Kluyveromyces lactis: one gene and its partner. The protein of the gene in region 2 interacts with the protein of the main gene of each other region in a pairwise test. Links are inferred from orthologs where the notes say so. Each region holds a gene or a part of one and is shown on either strand. Other genes may lie near its edges.

Region 1 (5,116 bases), on a different chromosome or scaffold from region 2:
AAGCCATTTCTAGTAGCGAAGAGGACATTTCTTTTGTATCATGTGGCCCTTCTTCCTTCATTGATGTCGTTAGATACAGCGTCAAAAAAGAATTAGCCAACACTAAGGTAGACGTCGATTTAGAAGAGGAGTCCTTTACTTGGTAATACTACCAAAGAAAGATGAGATAGCGGCCAGCAAGGCCGCATGAAATAGCATGAAGCAGAACATTGAGTAATTTATATCCCAGCGTTTATTTATTCCACAAACCTATTTTTTAATAGTTAATCATATCAGTACTGTCAATATTATTTACATTTAATTATAGCCTTAACTATATAATCAATTCTCATTATAAAGATACTCGCATATAGCTTGAAAGCCATTAGAGAACATGTGTTAGAGTGTGCTTTTATTAGATTCAAGGGTACGGCATAACTACAGACGGTATCAGTTATCGTGCAAATTTTGAAGGTAATTTATCCACGACATATCGAACTTTTTTCGAACATAAATAGGTAAAATTGTAGATAATTATTTATAGTGGGTGTGCCATGCAGTTTGGTGAATGGCAGGTATCCTACGGGTTACTCATTGGTATTTCTATGGACAAAGATGAGCGAATTATCATTGGCCAGAGTTAATGCATGGATGCTGATGAATAAAGAACGTATTATTATTCCCTTAATTGCTATCACTATCGCTCTCCGCTTCTTGCATCTTAAGGATCTCTTTCCATTTATATGTTAGTTCTCTCATTGACTCGGGATCTAAACTAGCTTGAACTACATCTTTGGGTACTTGGTTCTCTGAATGCTCTTTGGTGACGAATCTACCCATATTGTGTTCTGTGATGAGTCTAATTTCAGGACTGGCATCGGAATCTAAATCTTTCGAAGCCAACTCGTTCCAGGAGAAAAGTAACGGGTCTGTAGTTCTTGACCAAGGATTTATATCTATCAGCCAACATGATTCAAAGGGTCTGGGTAAATATACATCCAACACAAAAGACTTTAGGTCGAAATTGGGTAGCACGATATCATAAACGAATTCCTCGATAAGGTTCGTGAATGTATCCTGTAAAGGTTCCAAATAATTATAATAATTCAAATCCCTTTGTGATATTCCCCAAATTTCAGAATCTCTGACGAACACCCTAAATTCCAGCGCAGGGTTTATGTCAAACCATTTCCTTAATACTAGTTCAAACTGGATAGACTGATTGTCCGAATTGTCCCTATCCTCACATTCATCAAACGCATGATCCAAATCGTATGCGATATAGTTAGACGCATTTAGTAAAAGATAAATGTCATTCACATTCATACATTTGGAAGTATTATTGGGCAAAATCCAAGTAGCATCTCTTGGAGCAGACCAGTTGAGTTTCGGCGTGACTGCGCCATACTCACCAATCACTTCAGCAATCTCTCTATGAAGATCGGGGAAATTAACCATAGGAACCATCTCTTCTTCTTTCCCATTTTTATCATCGTCTGAGTCAGAATCATTATCACCATCGTCGTCTGCCTCCCAATCACTGTACTCGTTATCATCGTCACGCTTTAAGCAATGATCATTATACGTAGAGTCATTCTCTTCCAAAGAAAGCCTTATCCCGTCCTGAGCCAAATATCGTAGAAATTCCTCGGGCAGCGGTTGAATAATCTTAGCCTTTGGTGTATATTTTTTGAACTTATCGTACCATGATGAGAAACTACATGCCCTAATGTCATCTGACCTCACCTTAATATCAACTAAAGGTGTATAGCTTTCAGCTGCCATGTCAAAGAAGAGGAAACAAACCGTTTAATGCTGCTATATATCAACTACCTCTTCCTAAACATACAAAGTCGGATAAAGCAGCTGCACTTTTGCTATTCGAGCTTGCGATGAGATGTCAATGAGATGATCTTGACCTTTCACATCAAACTAACTAAGAGAAAAGGTTGATCAGATTCTGAATATCACGTGACTTGGGATTTTGTCTTGTCAATGTGTCATATTGCACGAAATATCAACCTCTAGTGGCAAAAAAAATTGTTCTATGGCCCTTTCTTTACTATGGGAGAAGAAGTGAATCTCAGTAGTATTGACGAAAGATCGAAAAGTACTGAAAATGACATTTTATTTTGATTTTAGTTACTAGGAATGGTTTTGATTATGGTGAAATAAATGATGATGGGTTTGATTTTGAAGCAAAGAAACACACATAGGCCTCATTGTTTAGTTTGTATTATAACTGCAAGTGACTTTACTCAATTCTTTAGCGGAAAGTTCTAATTTGTTTTGGCAAAGAACTACGGATAAGTTTATCGTTTGGTATTTTTCCCCAATCGTAAAGAGAGTTTGAAAAGATGGTTTCACAAGCTAAACAACCTTCCAATGCGACCTTTAAGAATCGTGAGAAGCCACAAGAAGTTCGTAAGGCCAATATTATAGCTGCCCGTGCTGTGGCCGATGCAATTCGTACTTCTTTGGGTCCTAAGGGTATGGATAAGATGATCAAGACATCTAGAGGTGATATTATTATTTCCAACGATGGGCATACCATTTTGAAACAAATGGCTATCTTGCATCCAGTGGCTAAGATGTTGGTTGAAGTTTCTGGTGCACAGGATGTTGAGGCTGGTGATGGTACTACCTCGGTTGTTATCATGACAGGTGCACTATTAGGTGCAGCTGAAAAGTTGTTGAATAAAGGGATCCATCCAACTATTATTGCGGAATCTTTCCAAAGAGCTGCTGAAAGATCGGTTGAGATTTTGTTGAACATGTCAACGAAGATCTCGTTGGACGATAAAGAGGCTTTAGTTCGTGCCGCATCTACCTCGCTAAGTTCTAAAATTGTGTCACAACATTCTTCATTTTTGGCCCCATTGGCCGTAGACTGTGTGTTGAGCATTGCCTCTCATGATTCGACTAACGTTGATTTGAACGATATTCGTTTGATCAAGAAGGTTGGTGGTACCATTGATGATACTGAGATGGTAAATGGTGTTGTCTTGACACAAAATGCGGTAAAAACTGCCGGTGGACCAACTAGAATTGAAAAGGCAAGGATCGGATTAATCCAATTCCAAATTTCTCCTCCAAAGCCAGATACTGAAAATAACATTGTGGTTAACGATTATAGACAAATGGATAAGATTTTGAAAGAGGAAAGAGCTTACTTGTTGAACATATGTAAAAAGATCAAGAAGGCCAAATGTAACGTGTTGTTAATCCAGAAGTCTATCCTAAGAGATGCTGTAAATGACCTTGCATTGCATTTCCTCTCAAAATTGGGAATAATGGTGGTCAGAGATATTGAAAGAGATGAAGTTGAATTCTTATCAAAGAGTTTGGGTTGTAAACCAATCTCTGACGTTGAACTATTCACCGAAGACAGATTAGGCTCTGCAGACGTAGTAGAAGAAGTGGAAAGTGATGGTTCCAATATTGTTACCATCACTGGTGTAAAGACAACCAACAAGAACCCAACAGTGTCAGTCGTCATTCGCGGTGCTAACAACATGGTCTTGGATGAAACTGAACGTTCTCTACATGATGCTTTATGTGTCATCCGTTGTTTGGTTAAAGAAAGAGCCTTGATTGCAGGTGGTGGTGCCCCAGAAATTGAAGTTTCATACCGTCTAATGAAGGAAGCGCGTACCATGGAAGGTGTGGAAGCATTTGTTTGGCAAGAGTATGCAGAAGCACTAGAAGTCATTCCAACGACATTAGCCGAGAATGCAGGTTTGAATAGTTTGAATGTTGTCACGGAGTTACGTTTGAGACACGAAAATGGTGAATCCAATTCTGGTATTTCGGTAAGACGTTCTGGTACCTCAAATACTTACGAAGACCATATTCTACAACCTGTTCTAGTATCCACAAGTGCAATCAGGTTGGCTTCTGAATGTGTTAAGTCTATTCTACGTATTGATGATATCACTTTCAGTCGTTAATAGGCCAATGTAGTTTCTTCTCCTAAATAGATTTGTACATTAAAAACGAAACTGATAATATAGTTTAGAATAATATTCTACTCCTTTAGAAATATTAATACTAACCAGCTATATACAAGATTACGATTGGCGTTACGAGCACGAGATGGATTTGCCTTTGAAGCAAAGTTGTTCTTTCTAAATGCAGACGCAAAGGGCGAAGATGTATCGACCAAAATTATGCAATTTATGAGTATGGATGGCGAGATGGTAAAAATAACTCACTTCAATTTACTCAGATAACGGACAGCATTTTTATTGAACACGTAGGATGCTCCACTCCATACTGTCGTTACACTGACCAAATAGCCCAGTAAAGTAAACGCAAATTGACTATTTTCCTTCAACAAACCTTCTTTGCCTTCCTCCTCATCTTTAGTGTTATTTATGATCAAGAGGACAACACCAAATCCTACATAGATCATTTGTACGAAAGTGTTCCACTTCGAAATTTGCGTTGGTTTAACCTCTGCGCTTGGATAATGGAAAATATCCCAATACGAGTTCCATGTAACAGAGCCGTAACGATGCTTCATTGATGCATACCTGAAATAAATGGCACTCAACCCCAACAATAGATCTCTTCCGAAAATAAGTCCAGCAACCGCTAACGGAATGATTTGGGGGCCAGAAGGTACGCACAAAGCGGCTGTCGTTGTCATCATTAATATCTTATCTGCCATTGGATCAAGAACTGTTCCAGCTACAGATTTCATCTTGTACGATCTCGCAAGGTACCCATCTAAAAAGTCAGTGACACAAGAGTACACGAATAAAGACATTGCGGGGGCAAGGTTCTGAGTTAAGATGTAGTAACCAATCAAGGGCGTTGTCGCTATTCTACTCATCGTTAACACGTTTGGTAAAGTCCATATTCCATTAGTTATCGCGCTTTTTGTCCGTTGCTGTTGCTGCTGTTTCTTCTCTGGTTCCTTTACCAAATCACGATTGTCAGTTGAGTAGAAGCGCTGGGAGTGACGGAAAGGCCGTATTCCAATAATTTGTTTCAGAGCCTTGCTTCGGCTAAACTGCAAGTTTGAGCTTATTCCGTTGGTTTTCTGTACGATTCTTCTCAATCCATTCACTTGCTTCGAAATGGTTAAAACGTTCAAAATCATTGTACCCAAAATGACGGACTTTCTTAACGT
Region 2 (5,261 bases):
CACCCTCAGTCTCCAACTAAAACTGCGTTCGACACTTCAGGCAAGGAAAATTGTTCAAGAGCCATTTCGGATGCATCTGTTAATAGACCCTTAAGCCTCGATCCTGCTGCCCGGAAGAAATGCGTGGAGCATAAAGTACAATCCCATAGTAACACGTCAATGCCATTGGCGCCGACACCTCTTAATAAGGGTACTGAGTCATACGTCATTATTCATGCTATATCAATGTTGAAGGATTTGTATCAGTTACTGGAAAAAATCAGAAATACCGTATTTATCATGATGAAGAACGACTCTTTGCCCAAATTCCTGGCAACAGAATCGTATAGGGACGCAATTTCATTAATAACTGCTAACAAGTAGAACCTAGGCATTTCATCATGAAGAATAAAGATATTCATCTTGCAAAAGAATGTGGCCTTTTCTACCAAGAAAATGGAACATTAATGTGACAATATATACATATAGACATATATAAAATCATTTAGTTAATTTACAGATTAAGCGATTGGTTCAAGAGTGGTACCCTTCTTGATAGTAGCCCAACCAATTAAACGCCAATGCTTTTCGATACGTCTAGATAATGCAATCTTTTCATTAACTTCTGTACATGCAGGGGAAGTTAATTGTAATCTTGCCATATCGGCTTTGACGGCAACCACACGGGCACCAGTAGCGGTGGAACCGATGTTCACCATTAAAACTTCATTTGGCTCTAACTTTCTAACCTTTGCTTGTTTTTGACCATCGGTCTTTACACCTAATAGACGACGCAATAGGAAGTAGTTAATTTCGATATCGGTGTAGATAGATGGCAAATGGCCCTTAGCACCAACGACTTGACCCACTAGACGATCTGCTCTACATAACGTTGGATCGACCTTAGTACCAACACCAATCAAACCACCTGGAACGGCGAATTTTAGGTCGTTGTGTTCAGCAAATAGGGAAACGATATTGGAGAAAATTGGCTTACATTGAATCTTACCATGATCATCTTTAGTGACGATACCTGGTCTAATTTCGATCTCATCGCCTAATTTGAAAACACCAGTCAAAATGGAACCACCGGCAACACCACCCTTCAAATCTTCGATTTCGGCACCTGGCTTGTTAACATCAAAGGAACGAATGACAATCAATCTCGGAGACGCTAAGAAGTCTCTTTGAGGAACAGGAATACTTTTCACGATGAATTCATTCACAGCATCAATGTTATATTTCAATTGGGCTGAGATTGGAACGATTGGAGCACCATCAGCGATGGTACCTCTAATAAATTTCAAAATAGATTTTTGATGTTCCAGAGCAGAGTCTTCTCTCATTAGATCGACTTTGTTCTGTAAAATGATAACGTGCTTCAACTTCATAATTTCGATAGCAGCCAAATGTTCAGAGGTTTGTGGTTGAGGACAGGATTCGTTACCTGCGATTAGAAGTAGTGCTGCATCCATAACGGCAGCACCAGACAACATGGTAGACATTAAAATATCGTGACCAGGACAATCGACAAAGGAAACATGACGGACTAGTTTATAACGTCCACTGTAACCTGGAAGATCAACCTTTGGTGCAACTTCTTTGTCAGATCTGAAAGACTTATAACAGTCTGGTTCTGGGCATTCTGGATCTTCTGCTTTATAGATTTTGGCATTGGCGTAACCTAATTTAATGGTAATATTACGTTCTAATTCATCCTTGAAACGAACGGTTTGAACACCTGAAATAGCTCTCACAACGGTAGATTTACCGTGAGCGACATGACCGATAGTACCAATATTGATAGTGGCTTGTCTATTGATAATTTCTGGTGATAGAGGGTTCAACTTGGAAAAATCTGGGTTCGTTGGTTGCTCTGGAAGACCACCACCTTCTTCAAATTCTCTCTTTCTACGTTCTTCATCCGCTTCCACATCATCAATCCCACTGAAAGTAACAGTCTTCTTAGGCTTCACTTCATCAAAAACTTGCTCCTCTTCTTCAACCTCAAATGTATCTATTGGCTCATCATTAAGATCCCCATTGATGACAATACTTGGCTCTTGGTTTTGCAAATCAGACATCCTGAACTTTAGGTATTATAAACAATCAGAAAAAACTATCACTAGATATCCTTTTTGATACTTTCCCAAATACTGCACCTGGCCGTTCTATTCTCTGGAATTAAACTCGGTTGCTAACAAGATCTTTATACCTTTACACCTTCATTACTCATCGAGATTAATCATATCCACATATATCTACTCAATTCTGTTGAAACTGATTTCGAATTTGGCATTCTTACAATTCAAAAAAATTTTCGATACAAAGTAACGATTTCGTACAGAAAGAGAAATCTGGTGGTATTTTCGATCACGTGATTATGTTTTAAGTACTTGGAAAATGTGCATAACGACATCTGGTTTTGCTTAGGTTTCTCGCCAGTGACAGGTTAGCAGTTGGTGTCATTTCGCAGTATCAATCTGTTAACCGATGATTTAATTCGTCTTATAATAAGTATTTATAGAAATATATAACCAATAATTTAATATTACAACGTCGGATTGAATGCGAATTCGTTCATTAGAATGTCGACATCTTTCCAAACAAGATCTGATTCCCAGTTGTCCCATCTTTCCGTAAGACCTGGAGAAATTGAGGGCGTATCTTCCTTTCTGTTTTCAGTTCCTTCTGATATTATCGATTTTGTAACGGACTGGAAGGATTGCGGTATTGGTGGCTCCAACAACTCATTTAAGGACTGCGCAGCAGGATTGATCTTTCGAGTCGGTTTACTATGATTTGACGGACTTGAAACCCTAAATTGTGGGGAGTTCGTTTTCTTGGCGGTGGTAGAATGGTTTATGAGTTTATTGTCTGTGACGGCGTTCAAAGGATTTAGAGATCTGGGATAACCGCTAGTTTCAACATTGGAAGCACCAGCATGTGTGTTTGTAGGTGATACTATGATATTGTTGCTAGGGGAAGATGAAGATGGCATTGTACCATTTTTCTGTTTCTGCAAAATCTCGTCCTTTGGGGACGTTTTGTTTAGGATTGATTTCAATGACAAAACGTCACTACTATGTGAACCGTTCGGAGATGTAATATTGCTTCCACTGGACTGCTGTGCATTGATGGGCTCTGGGTCAAGTGGAATGGTAGATATAATCCTTCTGGCATGTTCTTCGGAATACCCATCGTTGGGCAGTAGTTCTTTGGACTCTGCATCTCCGTTATGGTTATCGCCACTATTTTCATCATCAGAGGAGACTGTCTTTTCTCTTTCTCTCTTTAGTTTTGCCATACCGCACTTCTGTCTTAATATGAACAAGCAGTCAAAGAAAACACTCACAGACATTCTAGATCTTATGGTAATACTCAAGTTAAAATCCTTTTCTGACTGTGTTGAAGAGGAACTTTGGTCTTTCTTCGCTTTCCACTCTTCGAACATGTTGCTGAACATGCTCCATATACTTCTCATAATACCAGCTGATCTATAAGCCATATCGTACTTGAGGACAGAAGCATTCGAAATTAATGATACAGCATCTTGATAAACTTCATGACCAGTATCGACATCGATAATTGAGCCCAATGAGGAATGGACTAGCTTTGATATTATTGATGCTGCCTGCCATATATTAAGAACATAAACACCTGGAAGATATTTCACAGCTAGTGGATCCCGTTTCCACATACATTTCGCATGTTTCAAGAGTTTTACGGCTGCATTGTACGCTATTACTAGTCCTCTTTTAGTTGCAAAGCTTGTTTCCATGTCTTTCACAGATATTTTTTGGACGGAAGTTGGATCAACATTATCGGTAACATTGCTAAAATAGTGCGTCAACAAGTGCACCTTCGTTACGAGAAGTAAGAATCTTCTGATATCATCTAATTTCACATTATCAAGCTGTAACTCTAGTTCGCTTAGTTGTCTGTTCAAAACGTGTAATAATGGTAATTTTTCCTCATTGGCAACAAGGCCGCTCATATTACTAGGATTTGAGTTCATAGTATCCACGATTTGATTCTCGAAATGAGCAATTTGTAACATTTGTTTGATGGAAAAAGGTATGAAATCTGTCGTACTACTCTCTACTGTTGAAATCTTGCAGGTATTTATAACGGTATGGTCAAAAGAGACATATGCGGGGAACCCAAAGGAGGCAGATATTGTTTGTGATACAATATTACAACAAATCCACGTTCGTATCTGTTCATGAATAAGTTGCGAGTTTGCTGATGCATATTCCGTGGAAAACTGAGCACTGTTGAGTCCCACGCGCAGTGCTTGGAACATTGCAGAACCGATAGTATTCCAAGATGTGTCGGCGCTTAGCGATGACGTTAATGGTGGCCAATACGTGTATATTAAAAATGCCTGCACCGAGTAAACAGAAGACACGTTCAAGACAGGCTCGTCAGATTCCATTGGTGTGTACCTAATAATCGGAGAAATGGTAATTTCTGCCAAAATAGATTTAACCATATTCGAAAGTTTATTCATCATCTCTATAGCTTCAAATTTACGTCTAAGCCCTACTAGTATTATAACCCAAAAGAGACAAGGAGATAGGCTGTATATTCTTTCAGGACCTTTTGTCACATCCACCACAGGTAAAAAAGGATGATACTTGGTTGTGAATTCGCTGAAAAAGTTAGCAATATCACTACTCGATAGAGTAACATCTCCCAAAGTTTTTGGCTGGCATTCTAATTGCTGTTTTGTAAGTGTTATAGGCCCATCTAGTTTCGTCCCTGAACCAGTTGTGTTCGATGATACCGCTATTGAAACAAAATCATTTGTAGATAAAACGGTACGTAATGCAATCTCCTGACCGCCAGTTGAGTTACTTCTCGAGCCAGTACCAATTGAATTTTGATCCCATGGTGCCTCAGCACCAGTGCTCGTCTCCACCTTTATCAATCCTAAATCTTCCGGAAGTCTCAATGTTTCTGCATCTAATTTCTTCAACAGCTCTTCAGAACCGAGATTCGATAATGACTGGGTTAATTCCTGAAACTTTTTTGCTATTACCTCGTTACGTGCTCTCTTACAAGTTCTCCTGAAATCCTTTTGAAGTACACAGGGTACACCTTTCTTTAAGCACCTTGAACAAGGCTCAGGAGCCCTTTCATGTGCATCACACTTTGATTTTTGTTGCCGACATTCCACACACGCCAGTTTCTTCTTCTGTGGCATTTTCTTGTCATTACATAATTTCACACTTACAGGGGTAGAAGAAGCACTTGAAACACCACTCATATCGCCAAAA

The links. The genes of interacting proteins can lie anywhere in the genome.
Region 1: the proteins of GCD11 (region 2) and CDC123 interact in binary tests that used the Saccharomyces cerevisiae proteins (3 or more experiments, as listed by UniProt). The link is inferred for Kluyveromyces lactis from reciprocal best matches to the Saccharomyces cerevisiae genes GCD11 and CDC123.

Annotation. Positions count from the first base shown.
Region 1 is NC_006042.1:488,200-493,315, forward strand, and holds CDC123 (cell proliferation protein CDC123), read right to left. Parts: upstream 1,765-5,116; coding exon 664-1,764; downstream 1-663. Other genes in the region: FRE1 (ferric/cupric-chelate reductase), read left to right, coding at 1-146; chaperonin-containing T-complex subunit CCT4, read left to right, coding at 2,337-3,929; CRD1 (cardiolipin synthase), read right to left, coding at 4,190-5,086. UniProt on the Saccharomyces cerevisiae protein: ATP-dependent protein-folding chaperone for the eIF2 complex. Binds to the gamma subunit of the eIF2 complex which allows the subunit to assemble with the alpha and beta subunits.
Region 2 is NC_006040.1:897,796-903,056, forward strand, and holds GCD11 (translation initiation factor eIF2 subunit gamma), read right to left. Parts: upstream 2,064-5,261; coding exon 501-2,063; downstream 1-500. Other genes in the region: GTPase-activating protein SST2, read left to right, coding at 1-363; leucine-responsive transcriptional regulator LEU3, read right to left, coding at 2,531-5,261. UniProt on the Saccharomyces cerevisiae protein: As a subunit of eukaryotic initiation factor 2 eIF2, involved in the early steps of protein synthesis.